2 linked regions of the Nothobranchius furzeri genome follow. The protein of the gene in region 2 interacts with the protein of the main gene of each other region in a biochemical or structural test. Links are inferred from orthologs where the notes say so. Each region holds a gene or a part of one and is shown on either strand. Other genes may lie near its edges.

Evidence for each region.
Region 1: the proteins of dcaf11 (region 2) and slbp form a complex in vitro, tested with the Homo sapiens proteins (2 studies listed by BioGRID, with this or other methods). The link is inferred for Nothobranchius furzeri from reciprocal best matches to the Homo sapiens genes DCAF11 and SLBP.

The regions. Positions count from the first base shown.
Region 1 is NC_091741.1:108,906,072-108,912,943, forward strand, and holds the end of slbp (histone RNA hairpin-binding protein), read left to right. Parts: intron 1-529; coding exon 530-634; intron 635-727; coding exon 728-841; intron 842-911; coding exon 912-983; intron 984-1,621; coding exon 1,622-1,744; intron 1,745-2,978; coding exon 2,979-3,140; intron 3,141-3,210; coding exon 3,211-3,337; intron 3,338-3,422; coding exon 3,423-3,494; 3' UTR 3,495-3,931; downstream 3,932-6,872. Other genes in the region: immt (MICOS complex subunit MIC60), read left to right, coding at 4,679-4,720, 5,044-5,111, 5,187-5,376, 5,853-5,997. UniProt on the Homo sapiens protein: RNA-binding protein involved in the histone pre-mRNA processing.
Region 2 is NC_091747.1:42,041,164-42,049,524, reverse strand, and holds the start of dcaf11 (DDB1- and CUL4-associated factor 11), read right to left. Parts: upstream 4,888-8,361; 5' UTR 4,666-4,887; coding exon 4,337-4,665; intron 3,847-4,336; coding exon 3,719-3,846; intron 3,208-3,718; coding exon 3,089-3,207; intron 2,938-3,088; coding exon 2,873-2,937; intron 2,781-2,872; coding exon 2,680-2,780; intron 2,269-2,679; coding exon 2,122-2,268; intron 1-2,121. UniProt on the Homo sapiens protein: May function as a substrate receptor for CUL4-DDB1 E3 ubiquitin-protein ligase complex.

The DNA of each region.
Region 1 (6,872 bases), on a different chromosome or scaffold from region 2:
ATTTGTCTTTGTTAGACCCCATCCAGAGACAGTGTCTTGTTTGAGACAGCTGTCCACTTTAGGGACAGGGTGCTCACCCTGTAACCGCAGAGTTGCAGGTTTGCGCCCTGCTCAATCTGCCGCTGTGCCCTTGGGCAGGACACTTGCAGCTCCACCTCTGGCAGTTAGCCCTGGTCTCTTGACATTTGCAGTAGCTTACAGAATGAGCCGTTTCAGGCCTCTCTTGGGCCACTCTTTTACAGGTAAGAGCAAAATATCATTTAGTCTGGAGCTCTGTGGCTGCACAGACGTTACGACTATAAGAAATCGCATTTCGGTCCCCAGGTCTATAAGCATTTTGATTTTTATGAATGGAAACGCTCAACGCTGTGAGCTCTGGATACAAGGGCTCTGCAGCAGGCCCACAGGAAGTGGAGCAGAAACCTGCGACTGATCAACAGCACCTCTCTTTAAAGAACATCTTACATCAGATGTCCCCTTAAACGCTACTGACTAGTAATATTCTAGCCTTCTTTTATATTTGTACCAGGAGCAGCGGCCCATCCCGGTGGTCCCACAGTAGGAAAAGAGGAGTTGATGGAAGTTTGCGGAATAACAGTGATGAAGATGGTGATGACTGGTGCAGACATGCCAGGTATGATCATGGCGCAGGTCCTCCTGACACAGCTCTTGTGAAATCTCTGATTGGTGCCACTGGTTTAATGGTGTGTGTGTGTGTCTTCTGTAGTTTCACCACCCCAGAGAGCTCTGGACCAGTGTCGAGATGTAGTCGGCCGACTGACTGGGGCAGCCAGGTGGAGGATGAGGAGATGAGGAGAGACATGCACAAAGACATGCAGCGGTAAGACGAGCTTTCTGCTGAACACCAGCTGGTTTCTGTTAACTCCGAGCTGACGTTCTCGACTCTTCAGTTACAGGAGGAGGATACTGGGTCCAGAGGTCACTCAGAGGGAGAGGAGAGCCTCGTCTGGCTCCTCTGGGAGGTAACCACCATGCTTCTGTTTAACAGCAGTCCAGGTGGTCTCTAGTCAGGGTATCCGCAGGTCCTTAAAAAGTCTTAAATTTGCTTTTCCAAATTTACGGCCTTGAAAATCCTTAAAAATGACAAATAATCCTTAAATCCAGTTTCCAAAGGTCTTAAATCACCAAAGACCCAATAAACAAGATTATTTTATTTCTATAAAAATTTTCATGAATTTATAGTTAGTGTTCAGCATTTTTTGTGTACGATGTTGGCATAAGCGGAACCGTACACATTCAGTTGGTTGGGAAAGGGGGCAATTTTTAGATGAGCACATTAGCTGGTTAAGCTAGTGGGAGCTTGCGCCATGGGGAAGTGCAAGTTTAATGGTAAATGGATGGCTAATCCCACGTTCACGACGTGGTTAGCACCGGTTCCAGGCAATAGCTGGAAATTATAGCTTAAATTTAATTTTAAAAATAGCTTAAATTTGGTCAAAGTGGCCTGAAAAAAGGTCTTAAAAAGTCTTAAATTGGCTCCCTTAAACCTGCACATACCCTGCTAGTAGCCATAAGCTCATGAAGTCTCACCTGTTCGTAGAAGGTTCTTCCAGCCAACGAGAGGAGGCGAGTAAAGGTGTGTGTTCTGTTTGTTGTGCAGCTGTGACTCCAGAGAGGGTGAGAACATGGAGACTGATGAATCCGTTCTGCTGCGACGACAGAAACAGATCAGCTACGGCAAGAACACGCTGGCCTACGACAGATACATCAAGGAGGTCCCAAAGTAGGTCACACCCAGAACCGATAGCAAAACCGGAACCCAGGTGTAGAGTAGGGATGTTCTGATCACAATTTTGAGTCACGAGTCATTTGATTGAGAGTATCTGCCGATGCTGAGTCCTGATCCAATATTTCTGCAAAACATTAAAATAAGAAAAAAATCACACATCCAAGTCGTCCCTTGAAGTATTTTTTAAAGTAGCCGCGTGGCTCTGTTCAAATCGTTTACTGATCGGTGCGCGTTCCCTCCACTGAACGGGCGGGTCTGGGCACAAACTGTGCAGAGATGTTTGTTAAAGAGCAAGTCACCCCCTACAAGAAACTTACTTCACTCCCTCTTCATGTTTGAAAAATGCAACAAATGCTGCTGCTTGGCAGACCGAGAGGGCGGAGCCGCTAACAAATACACACACACAGGCTCACAATGGCATTATGACATCATAATGTACCAGATGACATCATATCATACCTCTTAGCCAATAGCATTGGCAGGTTTAAATTCTAATACAGTGCACAATTTTTCTCTGACGACGGCGCAACACTGACAGTTTTAGACAGAATATTTGAATTTTAACCAAGATGCACTGAACTGCCAAACTATTGACGACACGTGTCTGTAGCATGATTAGACACTCCTTTATATAGTTTATCAGCAAAAAAAAATGTGATTTGGGGTGACTTGCTCTTTAAATAGTGACAGCTCATACCAGCTCCAGTGATAAATGATGGCCGTGCCTGTTGCTGGTCACAAACACGGGTCACACCCGCCAGCTAGTCCTGCTTCGTGTTTTTGTCCGAGTAGCTGCAGTGAACTGAGCAGGGTTTACTTTTAGGGTGGCGTTTCAGATTCATCGTGTTGACTACAGCTCGGCATGTTAAATACCCAGTGTGCACACACAACAGAGGCTATTGCTCCACCTCCACTGTCCAGCTTAAAATACGTCCAACCTGCAGACGTGTTCTCTCCGGAGGATACGCGTTAGCCTGTTGCTAACAGCTACATGTTCCGGTGTCTGAATCCCCCGTCTGTTGTAAATTGTGGGATGTTACGGTGTCGTCGTCTATGGATCTTGTCAACATTAGAACTAAGCCATCATAATGTTTCAAAATCAGCGTGAATACAAAAGTTCCTGCTTTCTGTTTTATGTGGTTATGGCCGACCTCTTAAAAATCTCTCTGATCGGAGCGCCCTCACCGTAGAGAGTTGTCCGTAAAACCTGGACCGTGTCTGCTTTCAGGCACCTGCGGCAGCCAGGCATCCACCCGAAAACCCCCAATAAGTTCCGGAAGTACAGCCGGCGCTCCTGGGACCAGCAGGTCAAGCTTTGGAAGGTCAAACTGCATGCCTGGGATCCTCCGTCATTGAGCTCCCAGAAGACAACTCCTAACAGCAACAGCAGGTAGGAGAACGTCAGGCTCGGAGGAGCCTCCTTGTGCCGAACCCAGCAGGTCATTTTGTTTTTCCTCCAGTCAGGAGCTGGACCCCTGTGAGGAGCTGGATTTTGGTGACGTCATGGATATCGAGTTGGACTTCCCTACCCTGTCGCACTCTGAGCACCCCCCCACCGCCCACTGGGTGCACGCCTCCTCTGTAACGGTGAGTTAGCGTAGTTACGAACCGACAGGTTAAACCTAACACTTTTTGGGCTCGGTTCTGAATCTGCTTGTTCTGTGTTGTTCAGGATCAAGACTACCTGGGGACCCCAGTTAAAGTCCAGAGGACAGAGAGCCCAGGGGGGCCTGACATGGTGTAGCTCATGGTTGGGGTTCCTGCTGAACTCCACCTGCATCTAGGAAGTGTGTTCTGGAGTCGTTTGGGTTCAAATATTTGTTTTTAGTCCGTAAAAAGGACACTTTTAACTTGGACATCTGCTCAGGGAGATCACTCCACCACCAGGTTTATAATTCCAGCTTTGACCCGTCAGGAGACTGCTGGGATGAGCCCCTGTTGTCCTCGTCTGTTTGTGTCCCGGTGGGGAGACGTCGCATCGACCTGAGTCCAGGAGTTATTTAAGGAGGAGCGACGGCGGACGGCTTGTAGAATATTTTGTAGAGCTCTGATTTGACTGTTGAGCCGGACAGTTTTACGTTTGCTGTTATGAACTACGTGTAATTTTAATATGTCCTTATTACAACTGTTTGTTTGTTTGCTTTTGATGAAGACATGAAAATAAAAAGAACAACCTCGTTACTGGTTCTGACTGGTGCCTGAAATCCTTGAGAAGGTCCGAGTTTTTATGGAATAAAGTACTTGGGAGGCATTCAGGTGGAAGTGAGTACGGGACGAGTTTGTTCTTGTGTACGTGTCGGCACTAGGAAACATGCTGGAACCAGTGTGTTTGGTGAAGGAGCTCACGATGGACCAGGTGGAGAACATCAATGAAACTTCATTTGCTCTCTGAAGACCACGGAATCGATCAAGGAGTGGAGGGGAACGTGTGAAAACTGGATCAGAAATTGTGACCCGGCATTCCCCTCCTGGGAATAGTTGAACGGAGAGCTAGAGAAGGTTCTGCTCCTACGGAGACCTCCACAGCCGAGCCGTGCCTGATGGCGGGAGTCGAGTGAGAATGAGAAGTCAGCAAGTGATGACTAGAAGCTGATGGACGGGACCGGTGGCAGTTGGACCTGTTTTTACTCTAATCGGGTGCGATGCGGGCCGGACCACAGTGTGGACCTTCACCATCTACTGCCAGGAGGAAGACCACCCGAGGACCGACAGGTAAAGAGGAGAGAACGTCCGCGTGGATGGAGCCATACTCCCCACCAGCAGGTGGCGCTGAAGACGGGTTGCTTTTCCACCCGGAAGTGAAGCCTGGCAGCGGGAGGAGGTTCCGGTCCGGTTCTGGTTTGTGTCCGCTGAGCGACTGTGTGAAGGAAAGTTGTCGTGGTGCCACCGCCGAACCCGCTTTGGACTCGGACCGTTGAAGCGAGGACCATGCTTGGAGTGTGCCTGCGAGGAGCCCACGCCACGGTCCGGGTAAGAGCCGAACCCGTCCTGTTAGCAGCTAGCATGGTGGGGTCATCCGGTGACCCAGCTCAAGGTTCCACGGTTCTCAGGGTTGAACAGAACCAGTTTTGTGCCAGGACATCCGGTCCAGTTTGGCGTCTCTGGTTAGCCCGCGGTTAGGCTTTGTTTACATTCCCTCCGGTACCGGTAAGGATTAGGGTCCGAACCCTAACGAGCACCTCTCAGGTGACCTGTGTGTTCAGAGATTTGATGTTTACAGGTGAGTTTAGTTGGAGGTGACGTCACAACCGTAGATGCTGCCTTCACTGTACCTGGGACATTGTGTGTTTCAGAAGAACTGTGTGAGAAGTCCTCTGACTCCGCTGCAGTCCTACAGGTGCTACTCCACCAGCAGGAGCAGGTAACTGACCCCTCAGGTGAGGTAAGGACACACCTCACAGGTAAAAACCTAACCGTCTGCCCCTCCCCATCACAGCGGCGCCTCCAGAGTGGTTGCTCTCGGCTTGGTGACGGTAGGCGGAGGCGTGGGAGGGACACTGCTCTACTCCAAATGGGACCCCAAGTTCAGAGCAGCTGTGGAGAAGAATGTCCCGTACTCTGATTGGCTGCTGGGCCTGGCTCTGGGACCAGCTCCTGAGGATGCCCGTCTCCCTGTGAGGAAACAGGTGAGGAGCGGAGGTGAACACCTGTTCACACGCAAAGTCCAGTTCCTGTCACCTGTTAAGGTTTTCCTGTGAAGTCCACCTGAGCTAAAGAAGGGGGCGGGGCTTGTTGTTTAGAGCGACGGCTCTCATCATTTGTGCTGATTTTGTCTTCGCTGTCTGGCGTGCCGCCACCAGAAGGCGCGGTTTAGGTGTTCCCTGAGCTGCTGCCACAAACTAGGGATTGTGATGAAAATGGAAGATCATCTCATGGTCACATGACGTGGCAGCTGTACCGTGACAAAATTCACTTTCGTCTCCCAGCAGAGGAAGTTTGGATTTAAGTAAACCATTTGAGCGTGTCGATGGACTTGGGGCTCAGGGATGATCTTGTAGGAGCTGGATTAGACTACGCTGCTAAGTTGTTTCGACGTGTTGTGGCTCAGTAGTTAGGAACAATAACATTATTTTTTTTATTATCTCTAATGGTTTCTGTTCAGGTGGAGTTGAACCAGCCACCCTCCATGTTGGATAAACCAAAAACGGATCCCAAAGCCAAGTCCCAGAAGAGTGTGAAGGAGGCAGCAGAGGCAAGTGGCCCAGAGTCCAGTCTGGTCCCACCACCGCCAGCTCAGAGCATACAGGGTAGGAGGTTCTCACCGTTTCTCAGCCGCTCCTGCAGAAGCTACCACAGATTAGCCGCTGAAGGAGAGCCAGCTGTGGAGCGCAATGAGCTTCATTTGGTGTTGCGTTTGGGCCAAGCGGAGTGAATAAACGCATACGAGATTTGATTATGGCGACGTTAAAACACGACAACAGGCTGGTTGGACTTCATGAATTACCTTGTAGATTTAAAACTACGCTGCCTAAAAGATGCTGCTTGTTCACAAGTGGTCAGAATAGCTGGTGTTGGGATCATTCTGGAAGTGACGAGTGTCAGGTAGTCTGAGGAGCCTGATGCTTGTTGGAATAATAATCCTCATTGTTAGTGATTCTGATCCACAGGTAGGATATGAGCTAGATGATTTAGATGATGAAAGAGTTTAGAGAGCGGTGCAGACCCTAAAGGACTCGTTGGTGACGGGAACAGACAGCAGGGTTGGTTCCAGGGTCAGACGGTGGATGAGCCGGAGACGAGGACAGAAATGGTAGAGAAGAGTAGTGCAGAACATGTGTGAGACAGCGGGGGGGGGGCACATGGGCGGTCAGTGACCTGTGATGTCAGGAGGTTATCTCTGAGCATGTGGGCGGGGCAAAAGAGCGCGGTGTAGGGTTGCAACAAACGATTATTTGGGTCATCGATTCGATTAATCAGATTAAACGGGAACATTTAACAATGGAACTTGATTAGATAACAGCTCAGTGGCGTTCAAAACAACACGCTGTCACCTAAATGTATCCTTAGTTAAAATTTAATTAGCATTTTCAGTAGCTAGCTACTGGAAACGCTAATAACATTTACTTTCTACTGCTAACATGTAATGGTGACACATGTACGGGTTGGCACTAATCCAGTTTAA
Region 2 (8,361 bases):
AAAAGAAGCCCAGTTGATGAAAAATATTGGCAGTTTCATAACATATAACCTGAAAAATATGTTCTAAAATACATGGGAGCGGGTCTAAGGCCTAGTCCACACGTAGCCGGGGTTTTTTAAAAACGAATATCCGCCCCTCCAAAAACTTGCATCCACACCACTGCGTTTTAAAAACAAACTCTGTCCACACGTACCCGGATAAATACGTTGTTAAGGACATGCCAGACCTGTAGGCGGCAGTACTTCCCCCGTTCTTAACCTCGTCCTTCGTCTGTGGTCTTCCGCAAGGAGCAGTAATTCCGCTTGCAAAAACAAACAAGCAGAAAGCGCTTGGACAATTGATGGATCGGGTAGTGACAGAGCGCAGCTCTGAGGGCTTCCATGATGTCGGCTAGTGTAAACACAGGTCGCACACGTGATGTCAGCATTTTTTGTCGCGGAAAGTGACGTTGCGGATCTTAAAACTCCGGTTTTGTCCGTCCACACGCAGACACCCAAAACGAAGAAAACGCAGATCTTCACTTTGGCTGGAGTTTTTAAAAAGATCCGTTTTCGTGTGAAAAAACTCAGTTTTCGTGTGGATGACAGGCCAAAACGTAGGAAAAAATCTACGTTTTGGCAGATCCCCGGCTACGTGTGGACAGGGCCTAAGTCTCTGGGCGGCGCCATATTGGATGCCATATTTCCTTCTACGGAAGCCCGTGAGGACAAAATGCATTTCCTGATTTGTAACAAGCGGTTACAAAACTTCACCATTAATAAACGTTGTTTAACACATTTACCTCTTCGCACGCTGAGCTCCCATGGATTTTTGACCCTAAAGGCCATCCGTTGGTAAGGTCTTAAGCCTAATTTATACTTCTCTGTTTGCGTCGGGACGGACACATGCACGCAATTCTCAGTCCTTGCAAGCCTGCTAGAGCCCTCGCAAGGACGGACGGAGTCGACCTCTCTTTTCTAAACATCCGTCTGCCCAGATGGAGAACGCAAGCTTGTGATTGGTCAGTATGTCGCTGTCGCCTACAGCGCCGCCATTGCGCCCTCAAAAACACAAATAGAGCTGAGGATATCTAGCGGCAGACACGGAGCAGCTTCAAGGGTGCCTTGCGGAAAAACTCTAAAAATATGAACGTTTTATCACCTGTGACTGGAGGAGTGAAAAGATACGCAGCAAGAGTTTTATTTGTTGATGGAAATGACAGGAAACGTGGGTTTAGAGGTGGCGAGAGCAGGAAAAGGTGGAGGATGAGGGACACATTTTTCTGTGTTAAAAAGTCTTTTAAATACAAAAAACACAATATTAACACACTATCTTGGACTGGATACATGACAGGATACCACAGAACAGCGCTACGCCCTCTGTTGTCCTGGCGGGGAATTGCTTTGCAACACTCTCCAGGAGACGGAGAAGTATGAGGGAAAACTGTCTCTGTCTGTGCGTGCGTGTCTCTCCCTCGTGGAGCTGACGGAGAAGTAACACAAAAGTAATGCCTGCTTGCAATCATTTAGGTATGTACTGCCCCCTATCGCCAGGGAAACTACACACTTTCACTTTAAGCCCCTTACATGACCTGTGGACACACAAGCTTCCGTAGCAGCTCTTCTCTGCTTTTACTGCAGCACAGCCACGTTTTGTGTGACTGTGAACCTAATGTTTTAGGATTTACACAATCAGAAAATAAAGATTGTTGATGAATGAGGGTAAATGAGGGTATATATATATATATATATATATATATATATATATATATATATATATATATATATATATATATATCTATATCGAATATGCAACTATATAAGGATTAAATACAGAAATTACAGACCATGATAAGCAGTCTAGTGCTCCCTGCAGTGATGCTTTCTCACACTCTTATAATTATTTTCGTTCCTTGTAAGTTTTTTTTTTTTTTTTTGCTGAAGATGAAAAGCAGGTGCGATTCCCCTCCCAACTTGATGAGTATTTGTGTTTAAATAAAGGAAATGGGACTTTTTCATAAATGAGAGACGGAGCTTTGATTATCCACGAACAGCTACATCTTCTTCAGAAAAGTCTCATTACCATTTTTAAATAATCCATATTTAGCAATGTGGTGAACTTTCTCTGGGGGTTAGCCTTACTGTAGTCGGACCAGCTGGAGTAGAGCAAGTGGCGAGCGTCGGGGGTGAAGCAGACATCCAGCACGCTCCAGCCGACATCACGCGCCTTCACCGTCCGCTGCAGGTTAAAGCGTCCTCTGGAGGTGTCGTACAGGCGGATGTTCTGATCTGAAAAAAGGATTTATTACATTTTTATGGATTAAAGCAGCAGTTATTTATGAGCATTGGTGAAGCATTACATCAGTGTCTTGCTGTCAGCTCAGAGCTCGCAGAAGCACATGAATAAAAAAACGAGACAGAAAACAGGCAGCAACTTGTCTGCTCACTTCTGTCAAAACAGAAGATCATGAGTGAGGAAATAAAAGATTAATTTATCTTCTAATAATATCTTAAAACAAACGTACCTTTTCTGTATCTGCTTTAAGGGACGATAGTTTTTGTTCTGTTAGATTATGATAAAAGCTGTGATAGTTGTGTTTGTGTGACTGCATAAACAGTTACGTTAATCTGCACTTTTATTATTATTTTAAGATCAAATTCAGCTCTTTGAGCTCTGAGGTCAGACGTCGTGTTGTTTACCTTGGCAGGCAGAGAGGAACGTGTTGCCATCCTCGCTGTAAACACCACAGAAAGCTTTCTGCAGGTACGAATCCTTGTGGGAGACATAATTTGGTAGGAAGCTGAGAAACAAAGAAAAAAGGTTCATGCTAAAAACATAATCCAAGCAGAAATTCAACCTTTTGTCATAAACAGACGTGTGACTGCTTCTCACTGTGTGCGGATACGGCTGCACTCTCCATGGGAAAAGCTGGAGCCTCTACACCTGCCTTGTTCCCTCTGGGAACAACAGGAAGAACAAACGTTTATAACTAATTAAAAAACAACAACTATAAAATCACATCATTTACAAAAAAAAATGCTTCAGTTTTTTTATAGAACATATCTAATGAGCTGCCCTCTGGTTTAGGTTTGTAGTGTGTGGTCTGACCTCTGTGAGCATGTGGGTGAAACTGTGACGGCCTTTCAGGGATGACGAGGCCGTGGCCAGGAGGATCTGAGTTCGGATCTCACTGTGGTCCACTTCGTGTGTGTCGGGCTGGGAGTCCACTAGGGAGAGAAGATCACGTCTGAGTAGGAGGTCAGAGCTGACGGCAGGATCTCAGCTGCATACTTTATGTTCAGGTATAAGCTCAAATTGTGATGGGGAAGTCTGTATGAATATGTCCAACGCTCCGTGGGCTGGTCCGGTGTTATTCCAGACTTTCATTTTTACAACTTGCTGCCAAACTGGTTTTAAGCTCCATGAAAACAAATAAAGCATTTAATAAACCCCTCTAGCTATAATTAACAGACTCGGTGCTGCACACAAGACAGCTGGTGTGATCAGCTCTGAAGAGCGTTGATCACAATTTGCAGATCACGTTTATTTTTCACGGAGATCGGCTGCGGATTCCTCTTCCGGTTGGCATTCTAGGAATCAAAATAAAAAACTTTGAACATTTCTGGGAAAAACTAACAGTTGGAACCGGTTCCAATCGATGCTCGATGCCCAACCCTAGTAAGCAACACTTTAGTCTCCTAACTTAAAGCCTGTGAATGCAGCAGAGTCAGGAGTTACCTGGTGGATTGTAACGGTCCCCAAGACGTCCATCCCAGGCTCCGTCACTGTCCTCATCAGAGTCAGAATAGGACTGGACCAGCTGCAGTCCTGTAGCTTCACTGCCATGGACCAGTCGGACCTGGCCCCTGCACACACACAAACATCATTCAGTATGTGGCCCCACTGAGCAGCAACGAGTAAGTTAAAGGTCAAGCTGTCACCTAAATGGACACTAAAGTAAACACAGCTTATTTTGGAGATCGGCTGAAAGCTAAAAAATGTTCAGTCTTTCTAAAACGTCCCCAGTTGATCTGCTGCTTTCACTTGTTTCCTGTTAATAACAGAATCTTAATTAGGGGAATGTTTTGGTATTGGAAACTCAAAAATATCAGAGATGCCTTATTTAAGCAGTAAACACTCTAAGCATCATCTATCTGATCGTATATACTATACTTTAAAAGCTAAATCTAAACATGTGTGACGTGTGTAATCCTGTAAACATCCAGTCTGACTCCAGCTGCTCACACATGGAAGCTGAACAGGAAATCAGAAATTACAACGACCTTGAGTTACACATCACTGATGATGGAGCTGAGACAAGAAAAATACCCTAGAAGCTCGTTAATAACAGATCACCTCCTCAGTAGATAAGCCAGAACTTCAGCTAAGTCTACGTCCTCCTCTGAAGCCGACTGCCGGTCTCCCAGCTGCCTGTCTGCCGACCTGCGGCCTCGGTTACTGCTGCTGCTGCTCTGGTTCGGTTCGGCTCCTTCAGACTGACCTGCTGGGTTGTCACTGGAAGAGCCCCTTCCACAAGACATCCCAGAACTGGACTGAGAGCCCATAGACTGAAAAGGCCTGGCAGAGAGATGTAAAAGAACAGGCTCAGGTTTACCTGAGGAAGTCAGGTGAGCGCAGACAAAACAAAAACACTGAGGTCTATTGCAGCTGGACCAGACTGACATCGGTTAGTTACTGAATCTACAACAGGCAAGCTACGGGTTCGGGTAAAGAAATCGACCAGAACATTTGTGATGTGTTGTTAGCTTGTCACCATTAAAGATGTGTCTGATAAGGATGAGTTAGCAGCGACAGCTAACAACAGCCGCTACCGTTTGACTGTCCTGCTGACAGCTCCTCGCTCCGCCTACTCTCTCGTTCCGGTGTGGACTTTATTTGATGTTAGAACCGGAACTTGAACGCAGCCTGTTGCGCGGAAAACTGGAGATCAAACAGCGTGGAGTTTGTTTTTTAGTCTGCTAGCTGGAACGCTGGAACAGTCCGCGGGTCGCCATGTTGTTTACAAAAGTGCGAAAAAACCCTGCGCGTGCCCCCCTCCTGCACTTTCACCGTCACGTGACCAGCAGTGATGTCGCAATTGGCTGAGAATCCAGGCGAGGAGATGGTTGAAAAATCACTTACACAAGTTCAGCAAAAGTTTTAACAAATTAGTATTAAACCTGAAATAAAATCGTGTTAAATCAACAGAAGCCTACTTTTAAACAAAAGACGCGTTTTCAACTACTAAACATAGATGTGTTAGAGTTCCTGTGTACAAAATAATGTTTTATCAACCACAGTTTGCAGGACACAATCTTTGATTGCCTCCATTAGCATCAAAACATAACAAGAACACCAAAAATGTTTTTTTCCCCACAAGAAACAGAACTGAAAATGCTCACGATTTTTACTGAAAAAAACAAAAACAAAAAGCATATTTTGTATTACCGTAAATCCTCTAATACAGGCCCGGGTCTGTATTTGACTCAAGCTCATCAAGCTCCAGGCCTTTATTGGAAGGAGGACCAGAATTAGAGGCAGGCCTCAATTTCTCTTTGAGCAAAATGAACTAATGGTTCGCTGGAGTTTTTGACAATTAAAATTGCGCCCACATTTTCAAAGTTAAACACATTTCTTTTAACAAAGGTAGTTCCTGCTTCAGCCATCTCCCCCCTCCCCCTGTGCAGCGGCCGCAAACTCACTGATGCGCCTGCAGCCTCTCGGAGTTCCTGCTGCTCTAAACATTAAAATAATTATTTCATTTTCTGTTCCTCACTTCTGATTACCTTCAATGGTGTCTGTTTGTTGCAACCACCAGGTAAACTAACTTGTTTTTATTTGACTTTTTTTCTGTCCTGCCTGTTTATTATCTTCCTACATCTCCTCTCAATCCTAAAGAAAAACTGCTACCTGGGTTCATATATATTCACCTTATGAGTTACCTTTGAACTGCAGTTCTAAAAGATCTACCGACCGCAAAAACAGCGGAGTGTGCGCTGCTTGCCGGCCACGGGAGGCAACGCGCTGTGCCAGAGCGTCGGTATTGACAGCCGCCGTAAAACGGACATTTGACCAAATTGTGATGTTTACCCTCTTGCAATTTAACATTCCCCTCACCCCCATCCTAACCTTAACCAGCTTGCGCATGCAAAGCTCTGATTGTTGACGCGCTCCAGACATCTGCGTCCTGAGCACGGCCACAGTAACATTATCAAATCAGGTGTCGCTACCTCAAAAACTAATTTAACACGCGATCGTTCATGTCGGCTCATTTCCTTTTATGTTTTCTGTTTTTTATTCTTTTATTTGTGCCTGATGCGTTTCACTGCTGTGGATCGGGGCGCATCACCTGTCACCTGCTGACAGCAGGCTGCTGTCTTTTCCGAGGACTGCATCTTGCCGGTCATTATCACGTGACAGCGACTAGTCGATGACAGGCATAAAAAGTCACTATAGAGCGGTGAAGTCGACTAGTGACTAGTTCATACAACCCCTGCTACTGCTCCCCAGAGTGTTCTGCAGCATAATCAGCACGTTCTCTTTGAACTTGATATCAAATTTTCGCCTCCTCTTCGTCTCCGCACGGTTAAAGTTACCCTCGCGGTCTATCACTGGCAAATCAAAAGTGAGACGGATGACTCAACCGCCCCCCGTACTTGCTTGTTACCACATTCCACCCGGCCACAATAAAAAACCGGCCATCATTCACCTCCGCCGTCTCCGACACCGGCCAAAATGTGATACCCGGCAGTTAATTAAATACAGGCTAATATTAGAGGATTTACAGTATTTATATGAATGTATGAATATAATAAATGAGAATGTGTTATTTGTAACTGTAGGTCAAATGTTGTGTTAAAATATCCTTAGATAACAACAAGGAAAAAATTTTAAATCATTTTTGGCTAACAGATGTTGTCATCAACAACTGGATAACCAAATGCTAGCTAAAGTTTCACTTGATAGAATATCTTGAGACCATCAATGCACCGCAACACAACACTCATTAAATACTACAGTTCTGTCAAACAATTTATTCGAAATAAACGTGGAAACGTAGAGATTTGGGAAAAAAAACTAGCTAGGTGGTTTGCAAGAAAAATAATTCAAAGTGGTAAATAATCTTGTGACATTTTCATCTTTGGCTTCTCAGATTCAGATTTATTGGCCAAGTAAAATTACATTTACAAGGAATTTAGCTTCAGTAGATGTTAGCTCTCTAAAAACATGTGTGGAGTCTTGGACAACGTTCGCTGCCTTTTTCCTGGTCCTGCTGGTGTACAATTCCTGGACAGAGGGCAGTTGGGCACCAATGATTTTTCCTGCTGTTTTAATTATGCGCTATAGTCTGCATTTTTCTATTTTTGTGGCTGACCCAAACCAGACAGTGATGGATGAGCAGAGTATGGATTTGACTTTAGCAGTATAGAAGATGATCAGCAGCTCTTGAGGTAGGCCATACTTCCTTAGTTGCCGTAGAAACTACATCCTCTGCTGAGCCTTTTTGAGGATGTAAATGTTTTCTCCCACTTCAGATACTTAAAAATGATAGTTCCCAAGAACTTGAATGAGTCCACCATTGACACTGGGCTGTTGGATATTGTGAGAGGGGACAGCACTGTGGGAAGCTTCCTAAAATCCACGACCATCTCCACAGTCTTAAGGGTGTTAAGCTCAAGATTGTGCTGACTACACCAGACCACCAGCCTCTCAACTTCTCGCTGATAAGCAGACTCATCACCATCCTGGATGAGCCCAATGACAGTGGTGTCATCTGCAAATTGCAGGATTTTAACAGCTGTATCCTCAGAGGTGCAGTCATTGGTGTAAAAAGAAAAGAGCAGTGGACAAAGGACGCACCCCTGTGGTGCACCAGTGTTGATCAACCTTGTGCCAGATGTAACGTTGTTCAACCGCACATGCTGGCTCCTATTTGTCAGGAAGCTGGAAATCCACTGACACATAGCAGGGGAAACAGTGAGCTGAGAGAGCTTTGTGGTGAGGATTTCTGGTATAACAGTGTTAAACACAGAGCTAAAATCTACAAAAAATATCCTTGTGTAGGTCCTTGGCTGATCAAGATGTTCCAGGATGAAGTGCAATCCCATGTCAATTGCATCATCCACTGATCTGTTTGCCCTATAGGCAATCTGCAGGGGATCCAGCTGGTGACCTGTAGTGCTTTTAAGATGGGACAGCACCAAACGCTCAAAGGACCTTATTGTCATGGTCTGCGTCTGCCCCTTCCTTCATGTGCCTCCTGGTGTTCTCCATCCCTCTCTAGATTCCCTTCTGTGTCTCATAGTGCCCTCATGTGTCCTTTGTCTGCATCTCTATTATGTGTCTTCTGTTTGTAGGCCTTCTTATCATTCCCTCAGGAC